2 linked regions of the Drosophila melanogaster genome follow. Changing the gene in region 1 together with any one later gene gives a genetic interaction. Each region holds a gene or a part of one and is shown on either strand. Other genes may lie near its edges.

Region 1 (3,757 bases):
CCATCACCATGCCCAGCAACTTCTCTCGCAGGGCCTTTTGAATCTCAGAATAGCGAACCACCTGGTAATGGAAAAAGCGATAAATATATTTCCAACGGAATAAATGCAATAAAGATATTCCTACCTGATCCCTGAACAAAATTAATCCCAAATTGTACACATTGTCTACCTCGCGCTGCTGCACATAAACTCTATCCATGTACATGAGTATGTCGCGGATCATCACCATAGATGTCTGGTGGTCTGTCCAGGCCTGGTTTAACTTGGGTAGGAAATTGCTGTGCAGAGCCTCCAGCACATCCGCCCGCACCTTGTGCTCCAGGTGTTCTGAGACGACCTCCCTCAGACCGTAATACAGTCTATTGCCGTGCTTATGCAGCACCATGTTGTACGCATTCCGGTAGAGTTGTTCAAACGATAGTCCGGAGTTGTTCTTTTTCTGTATCTCCTGGATAGCATTCTTTAAGCTGGCCCAAATGGTCTCCACGTACTTCTCGTCCATGGAGGCCTGGAAGAGAAATATAAGATTATTAATTTGGATAGTCAAGAACTTATTTCTCAGGGATTAAAACTTATAAATGCATAAGAGTGTAAGAGGGATATTAAGACTTTCGCTTGTTAGTAAGTTAACTAAAAGTTGAAATCCCTGTTTGGTTTTTATCAGATGGTAGGCTAACATTGAATGCCCTTCGCTTGTACTCCGGTAGCCAGAGTGGGTACTTCCGTGCTATTTCCTTAAAGCGTTTTTCTGTACTTTCTGCGCTCGCTGAAGCTGAGGTTGATGGCCCAGAGGTGGTTGCACTAGTTTCAGTTTTAACGACAGCTGGAGCAGCAGGAGCTGGAACTGGCATGGAAAGTGGCGTCGGCGTGAGCGGGTGGTTAGTATTAATTCTGTTATCAGCCCGAACTCTGCCACCGCTGGCGGCAAGGTGATAACTCCGCCGCGAGGCAGAAGCTAATCCCTGAGCGGACAATCGATTTTGGGACTGCTGGTGTTGCTGCATTGAGGAGGCGTTGGGCACATTGATGTTCATGCTTCGCGCCTGCTGTCCAAGAACGTTTTGCCTTGCAATCCGGCAAGGCACGGCAGAGTCCACATTACCGACAGTTGCGCCATTGAAGTTGTTGGAGCCGGCCACCATGCGATTGTGGTAGCGGCCGTTGGCGTTGAGGTTGTTCAGTGGCTCCGGCTGCTGTTGGCGGGGATCGCGGCCTTGCATGAGATTGCTACGCTGGTCCAGCTCACACGTCCTGTCCCGGTAGTGGCTCCTCTCTTCCTCGCTGAGTGCCAGAGAGCGAGGGGCTGGATAATAGCCCGCTGCTGAAGCCGGTGCCTGGCGAGACCGACTTTGGTTTAACGACTTAATGATGATAGCTTCAATGTCACATCCGCCGCGCGGTTCTGCTACACCTGGTCCGCTGCTCCTCCTCCTCCTCTGTGCTCCGTACTCCGGCCAGAGTTCTACTCGCGATTCGGGTCTCGCCCTTCACCCTGCTCTCCACATACAGGTGTTCACAGTCTTTTTGTGTGTGTTGTTGGTCAACAATAATTTCTCGAAAACTACGATTGAATTCGTTGTAACTTAAAAACTAAAATGTGTGTTGAAAATTCCCCTGGCCCCGGTTGGTGTTTTGATGTTTTTATTTGTTTTTGATTTTTGGTGTTTGCTTTTCATGTCGCCTGACATTTTGTGGGGAGAAATGTTTGGTGTCGCCTAACCGGTGAATTTGCTAATTGTTTTATAAAAATTATCTAACTCTTAATACCCGCAAATGGCATTATCTTATCGAAACATTTTGCAAGTTCATGATGCGATCGACAGATTTTTCGCTGCAACTCTCATCTCAACTGCAAAGCGAGTAAGGGGCTTTTCAAATGAGTATATCTCGTTTTTTAAATTCGTTTGCAAATTGCACTCAACCTTTTCAAACGCTTAATCTTAAAAATTTGAAGATCATTGTTTTTTGAACCAAAGAAATGGCATAATCTGGGATTATACAACTTGCTGTGGACAGCAAGCTCTTTCTTCATAGTGATTTCTTGGATTTGAGCTTAAAATGAAAATGTTTTTACAGTTTGTGGTTTAAACTTGTATTAGTTCCGGGTTGTCAGATAATAGATAATCTCATATTAGTTCGCTCTTAGCAATATTACACGATTAAGAGTGTGTATCGTGGTTTTAACGATGCTCCAATGTGGGTTCTTACCGGAAAGGCCCGAATGCGCATTTTGCCCTCCTTCTTGGGAGGATTTCCCCGCAGATTCATGCTTTGCAAGCGTCGGCACTGCTCCTCCACTTTATTGGCGGTTCGGACTCCGGAGCAGGGAGCTGCAAGAAGAGCAGGTGCTTCTCCGACTTTTCCGATGACGGAACCTGCTTTCCTCGGCGGCAATCAATGGTTAACACAACAAGAACACAGTTAACCTGGGTTATCCTTGGTTTATCCTGAAAGATAAGGAGAGGTGAATGGATTAGTTCTATCACAGATCTCCCAGCATGTTTACGCTACAATCCGCGTAGGGTGGTGCCGAGATGAGCATTCTGGTTTCGTATATTTGTGCAAACATTCCACGCAAATGTTAGGGTGTCAAGCGCGATGTACACAAGCAGACGTGTGTACGTACATATGTATATATATGCCCGTGTGTGTATGTCTATTTGGGGAAGCGGCTGGTTTTATTCGCGAATAGTTTGCAATTGCGGATATGTCCCGGGATACCAATCCGCCGTACTGCGTCGTCACTTCCTTTGTCGCCGCCTATATCGCAGATATCGGATATATGTGCATGTACATTGATTCGCTGGCCCATCCGATCTCTCCGCGTAAAAGAAACGGTGAAAAAAACTCACACGGCGACAATATAATTGTTATGTACATATACGTGCAATTAATACAAGAACCGTTGTTTTCGCACGCACTTCCAACCGATGATCGATAAATATACGTCCCAGGGAAGTGCATTCAATTGCTAGACGTTATCGAGCCAATGCTTCTATTTTCACTTTGTTGCTTTCTTTATTTTCTTAACGATTCTTCTATTTCACTTTGTCATGGAAAAGACGGGTTACATATGTGTGTGCGTGTGGGTGCCTGCCCGTCTCACGGTCTACGCTTGTGTGCGTATGTTTTTGTACCTGGCCTTTTGAAACGGCTTTCCACGTCGCTTTCGCACAATTTTTACTATTTCAAAATGTATTTTACCGGTGCGAATGCATTAGTAAAGTCACTACTATTATTTAGCTTGATTTGTTGCTGTTTTCAACGTTTACTTGCATTTCATATTGATTGTAGGTTTTAATAGCGATGGGCGACAAAAGTAGCATTGTTGTTGTTTTTCGAGGCGAATGGTGATAGCTATCGATAGTACTTTTCCATCGATAGTGTCAAAACCAGTTGCTCTCAACTTTATGATAAATAAAACCAGTAAAGTTAACAGGAAAGGAACTGACTTTGCATCGCACGCAACTTAAGAAAATATGTAGTTACTTTTTATTTTATTTGTTAAAGGAATATAAATATTAAATATAAAAATTAAAAGGAAAGTAACTGACTTCTTAGTACGCTTGCATCACAAGCAGAACCAGAAGAATTATTGTCACTAATTATTGATTTCTTTATTTATATAAATTAATTTTTATTTGGTAAAGATTTTATGTTCATAAATTTTGAATTTTTAAAGTACATAACATTTCCAAATATATATTTAAATTGTCTTATGTATATAATATTTTATCATAATTTATATAACATTTTT
Region 2 (3,757 bases), on another chromosome or scaffold:
GAAAAATGAGTAACAGAACTTTCAGAACTAACGATCCTCGAGCTTTCTATTCCCACTAACTGAGATTCTCCAGCAGAAACCCATTTCGATTGCATAGAATCCCGAATCCACTTCAGTGCCCCCATATCATCCGCGTACGCGCGAGTGTAGCGACCAAAATGGGTGCCTACTAAGCCAAGGCGACGCCGCTGACATTGCCGCCCACGAAAGTCCCGTGAGTCACTGGGTTTCGGGTCCCAAAAGCGCTCGCATAGCATCGGAATCGGAATGAAAATCAAAATCAAAAATTACTCCACGCAACGCGCGTTCATTCGCGTTGGACATTCGCGTCGGACGATTGGAATTCATCACATTCATATTCACATCCATATTCACAGCCATATTCACATTCTCATTCACATCGACATCCACAACATCGGCGTAGTGTAACAGGTGAAGAAGGGGGCGGAGAGGGTGGCACTCTCGCGCATACTGGGCAGCAGGTACGCATGTATATAGAGATACCAACCCAACATAATTCCATCTGCAGTTGAGGCTCGAATGGAATGGATGGGTCCGATACGCGGATTCGGATTCGATTAGCTCGTATGTGGGTTTACGGATGAGTGTAGGCACGCGAATATTAAGAGTATTTAATCTAGCAATTATTGCCGACCGACGGGAGTCGCAGGAAGATGAACGTACTATACCCTACACATATACCTATATAGGCGGAGGGGGTGGTGGCAGATATGCCAGATATGGCAGATATGCAGATTTTAATGTAAATATATGTACATAAATTCATCGGCATCGGAATCGGGATCTAAGCGGGCACGGACACGGACACGGGCACATATATATCTCACAGATATGAGTACACACCGTTGTGTATCTACTCGTATATACGTGCGTATGTATTTAGATATATACACAAGTTCTCGGTTCGCATGTGTGAATGGATGGATGTACATAAATAAATGTATGTACATATATCAATACGTAGTGCTCCGTGCCTCCGAATCCGAAATATTTGCCATTTCTTTGACACTTGGTTAGAAAAACTATATTATACCTATACCATCGCGAATCGGATCGAATCGAATCGAATGGAATGGAATCGCATCGCAACGCATCTGCTTGGATTGGTTTGGATTCGAATGGATTGAATTCGATGGATGGGATTGTATTTTGGATATTCATGCGCGAACGATTTTTCACTGATTTCAGGTTTAAGGACATGGGACGCAGGTCGCAGGTCGCAGGACGCAGGACGTCCGAAAATCGGGAGGTCGGTCGAGATCGAGGGGCTGCAGGGGCGAATCACATCTCTGCGCGATGGCAATTACGTGTGCGAACGCGACTATTCCCTGCGTTCGACAATGGTTATTGTTTACCGTGAAATTACCGAACATTTTTATTCATGGGAGCAACTTCGGGCCAAGACTATAGGTGCACGACTCGGTTGGGAGCGACTTTTGGGGTCTGAAAAACAGGCAATTCTATCGCACCCGACGCGCCAGCCACTGTTTTCCGGATTCCCAATGTTCTTAGTCTCTGTGTGCTCGCAATTCATCAATTTGTAGCTTAAAAATTACTTTTAATACCAGTACTAACTCACTTTTTATATATTTTTTATTTTATGTATCAACCTAGGGATGCAACGAAGTAGATACTTTTATCGATAGTCAGTCTGCCTATCGGATAGTGCGGGCGGTGATGTAGATAGATATGTTACTGGGCCAAAAACATCTATGCCAAATGACGATGTGCTATTTTAGCGAATATTAATAATAAAATAAAGTATCCCGAGCTATGTAGAATAGCGAAATCCAGAAACACCCGTCCGATACTTTACATAAGCAGCCGTCTCTACAGGCTTACATAGATATTCTACACGGGCGTGTAGAAAACATGTTTGAAGTTGTTATGATAAGGTATCAAAAAAAAAGTATCTTTATCTGTGATATAATTTGCAAATTTTATTTATTTTGTAAACTTTTAGTATTTATTATTCGTATCCATATCTGCAACGAGTAATCATGCTATTTGCATGCCAAACCTATTCACCCATTTAATAATTTCCATAACTCCCAACTGAATCTTGTCATCTCTTTTAATTGTAGTGTTTATTAAAGTATAAAATCATTGTCTTTTTCAAAAACGAATGTATTCATCCTCCACCTGCTAGCGGACCCAGAGGAACATCTACTTAAGATAGGTCTTAATCAAATTCTCCAGCTTAACAGTATCCACGGCGAACTTCCTGATGCCCTCGGAAAGTTTGTCGGTGGCCATGGCGTCCTCGTTGAGCAGCCAGCGGAACCGGCTCTCATCGACGGTGATCTTCTCGATGTCCTGCAGCTTGGCGTTGCTTACGGACAGGTAGGTGACCACCGACTCGGTCTCGTTCTCCAGCTCCTTAAGCAGCGCTGGGCTGATGGTAAGCAGATCGCAGCCAGCCAGGGCCTTGATTTCGCCCACGTTACGGAAGGAGGCGCCCATGACCAGGGTCTTGTAGCCGAACTTCTTGTAGTAGTTGTAGATGTTCGTCACGGAGATCACGCCCGGGTCCTTGAGCGCCTCGAACTTCTTGGTATCCGTGTTGGCCACGTACCAGTCCAGGATGCGGCCCACGAACGGGGAGATGAGGGTCACGCCGGCCTCGGCGCAAGCCACGGCCTGTGCGAACGAGAAAAGGAGCGTCAGGTTGCAGTGCACACCGTGCTCGTTCTCCAGGATCTCGGCCGCCTTGATGCCCTCCCAGGTGGACGCCAGCTTGATCAGAATTCGCTCCTTGTCGACGCCCAGGGATTTGTACAGGGCGATCAGCTTCAGGGCCTTCTCCACGCTCTTCTTGGTGTCGAAGGACAAGCGGGCATCGATCTCGGTGGAAACGCGACCGGGCACAACCTTCAGGATTTCCGTTCCGAACAGCACGCACAGGTAGTCCATGGCCTCGGCCACCTGCTCACTCACGGAGCTGCAAACGATGGTATTCTATGTAGCTTTGTGTGGCAAACACCCAAGTGAACTGCTTACCCCTTCTTGCCCTTGGCGTATTCCACCGCCTTTTGGACCAGCGGCTGGTACCGCTCCATGGACGAAGCGGACAAGATGAGGGAGGGATTAGTGGTGGCATCCGTGGGCTTATAGATGTTGATGGCTGGAAGCAATGTGTAAAGTATTTGCATAAGTGCGGGGCCAAATTACATTGCGAATTTTAGAAAGACCTCGAAACCTGTTGAGCGACTTTCATTTTTCAATCGCCCGACCGAAAATATCTTTGAACTTTTCAAATGTCTGAGCAGGTTTGGCACTCTGCTCCGAAACCTTATCTCTGGTGGCATTCTATAGTACACTTTACTATAGCGGTCACATTTCTAACACACGTAAGCACCAAAGGTCAAACTAAAGTCAGCTCGGATTTGCTTTTCACTTTTATTTGATCTTCACTGCGGCAGACACGACGGATCCGATGGCCCGTCGTTAATGTTTATCTTTTGGATAAATCCATGTATCCTATGTATCTTTGGACTCGGATTCTATGTATGCTCTATATATGTATGGATGTTCGAGCTCAGACTCGCATTTCGCTTTAGTTGCATTTCTGGATTCCCACTTTTGAGGCAAACTTACGCTAGCTTTGAAATCGGACTCATCTTGTTAAGAAAAATACCTTGCGTGCGTACTTACCTTCAAAGTCGCCGGTGTCAGCCACAATTGTGGTGATTTTCTTGAGTTCCTGTAATACCGACATCTTTTGCTTTTTTAACGT

What was found. Genes that interact genetically often act in the same process or in processes that back each other up.
Region 2: of Cul3 (region 1) and Galphas, changing one suppresses a phenotype caused by changing the other (phenotypic suppression), as found in Drosophila melanogaster (one study listed by BioGRID).

What each region holds. Positions count from the first base shown.
Region 1 is NT_033779.5:15,268,697-15,272,453, forward strand, and holds the start of Cul3 (cullin 3), read right to left. Parts: upstream 1,629-3,757; 5' UTR 1,221-1,628; coding exon 678-1,220; intron 509-677; coding exon 125-508; intron 62-124; coding exon 1-61.
Region 2 is NT_033778.4:23,940,445-23,944,201, reverse strand, and holds the start of Galphas (G protein alpha subunit s), read right to left. Parts: upstream 1,665-3,757; 5' UTR 1,601-1,664; exon of another isoform or gene 1,388-1,600; intron 226-1,387; exon of another isoform or gene 1-225. Other genes in the region: Taldo (transaldolase), read right to left, coding at 2,188-2,962, 3,022-3,145, 3,676-3,757.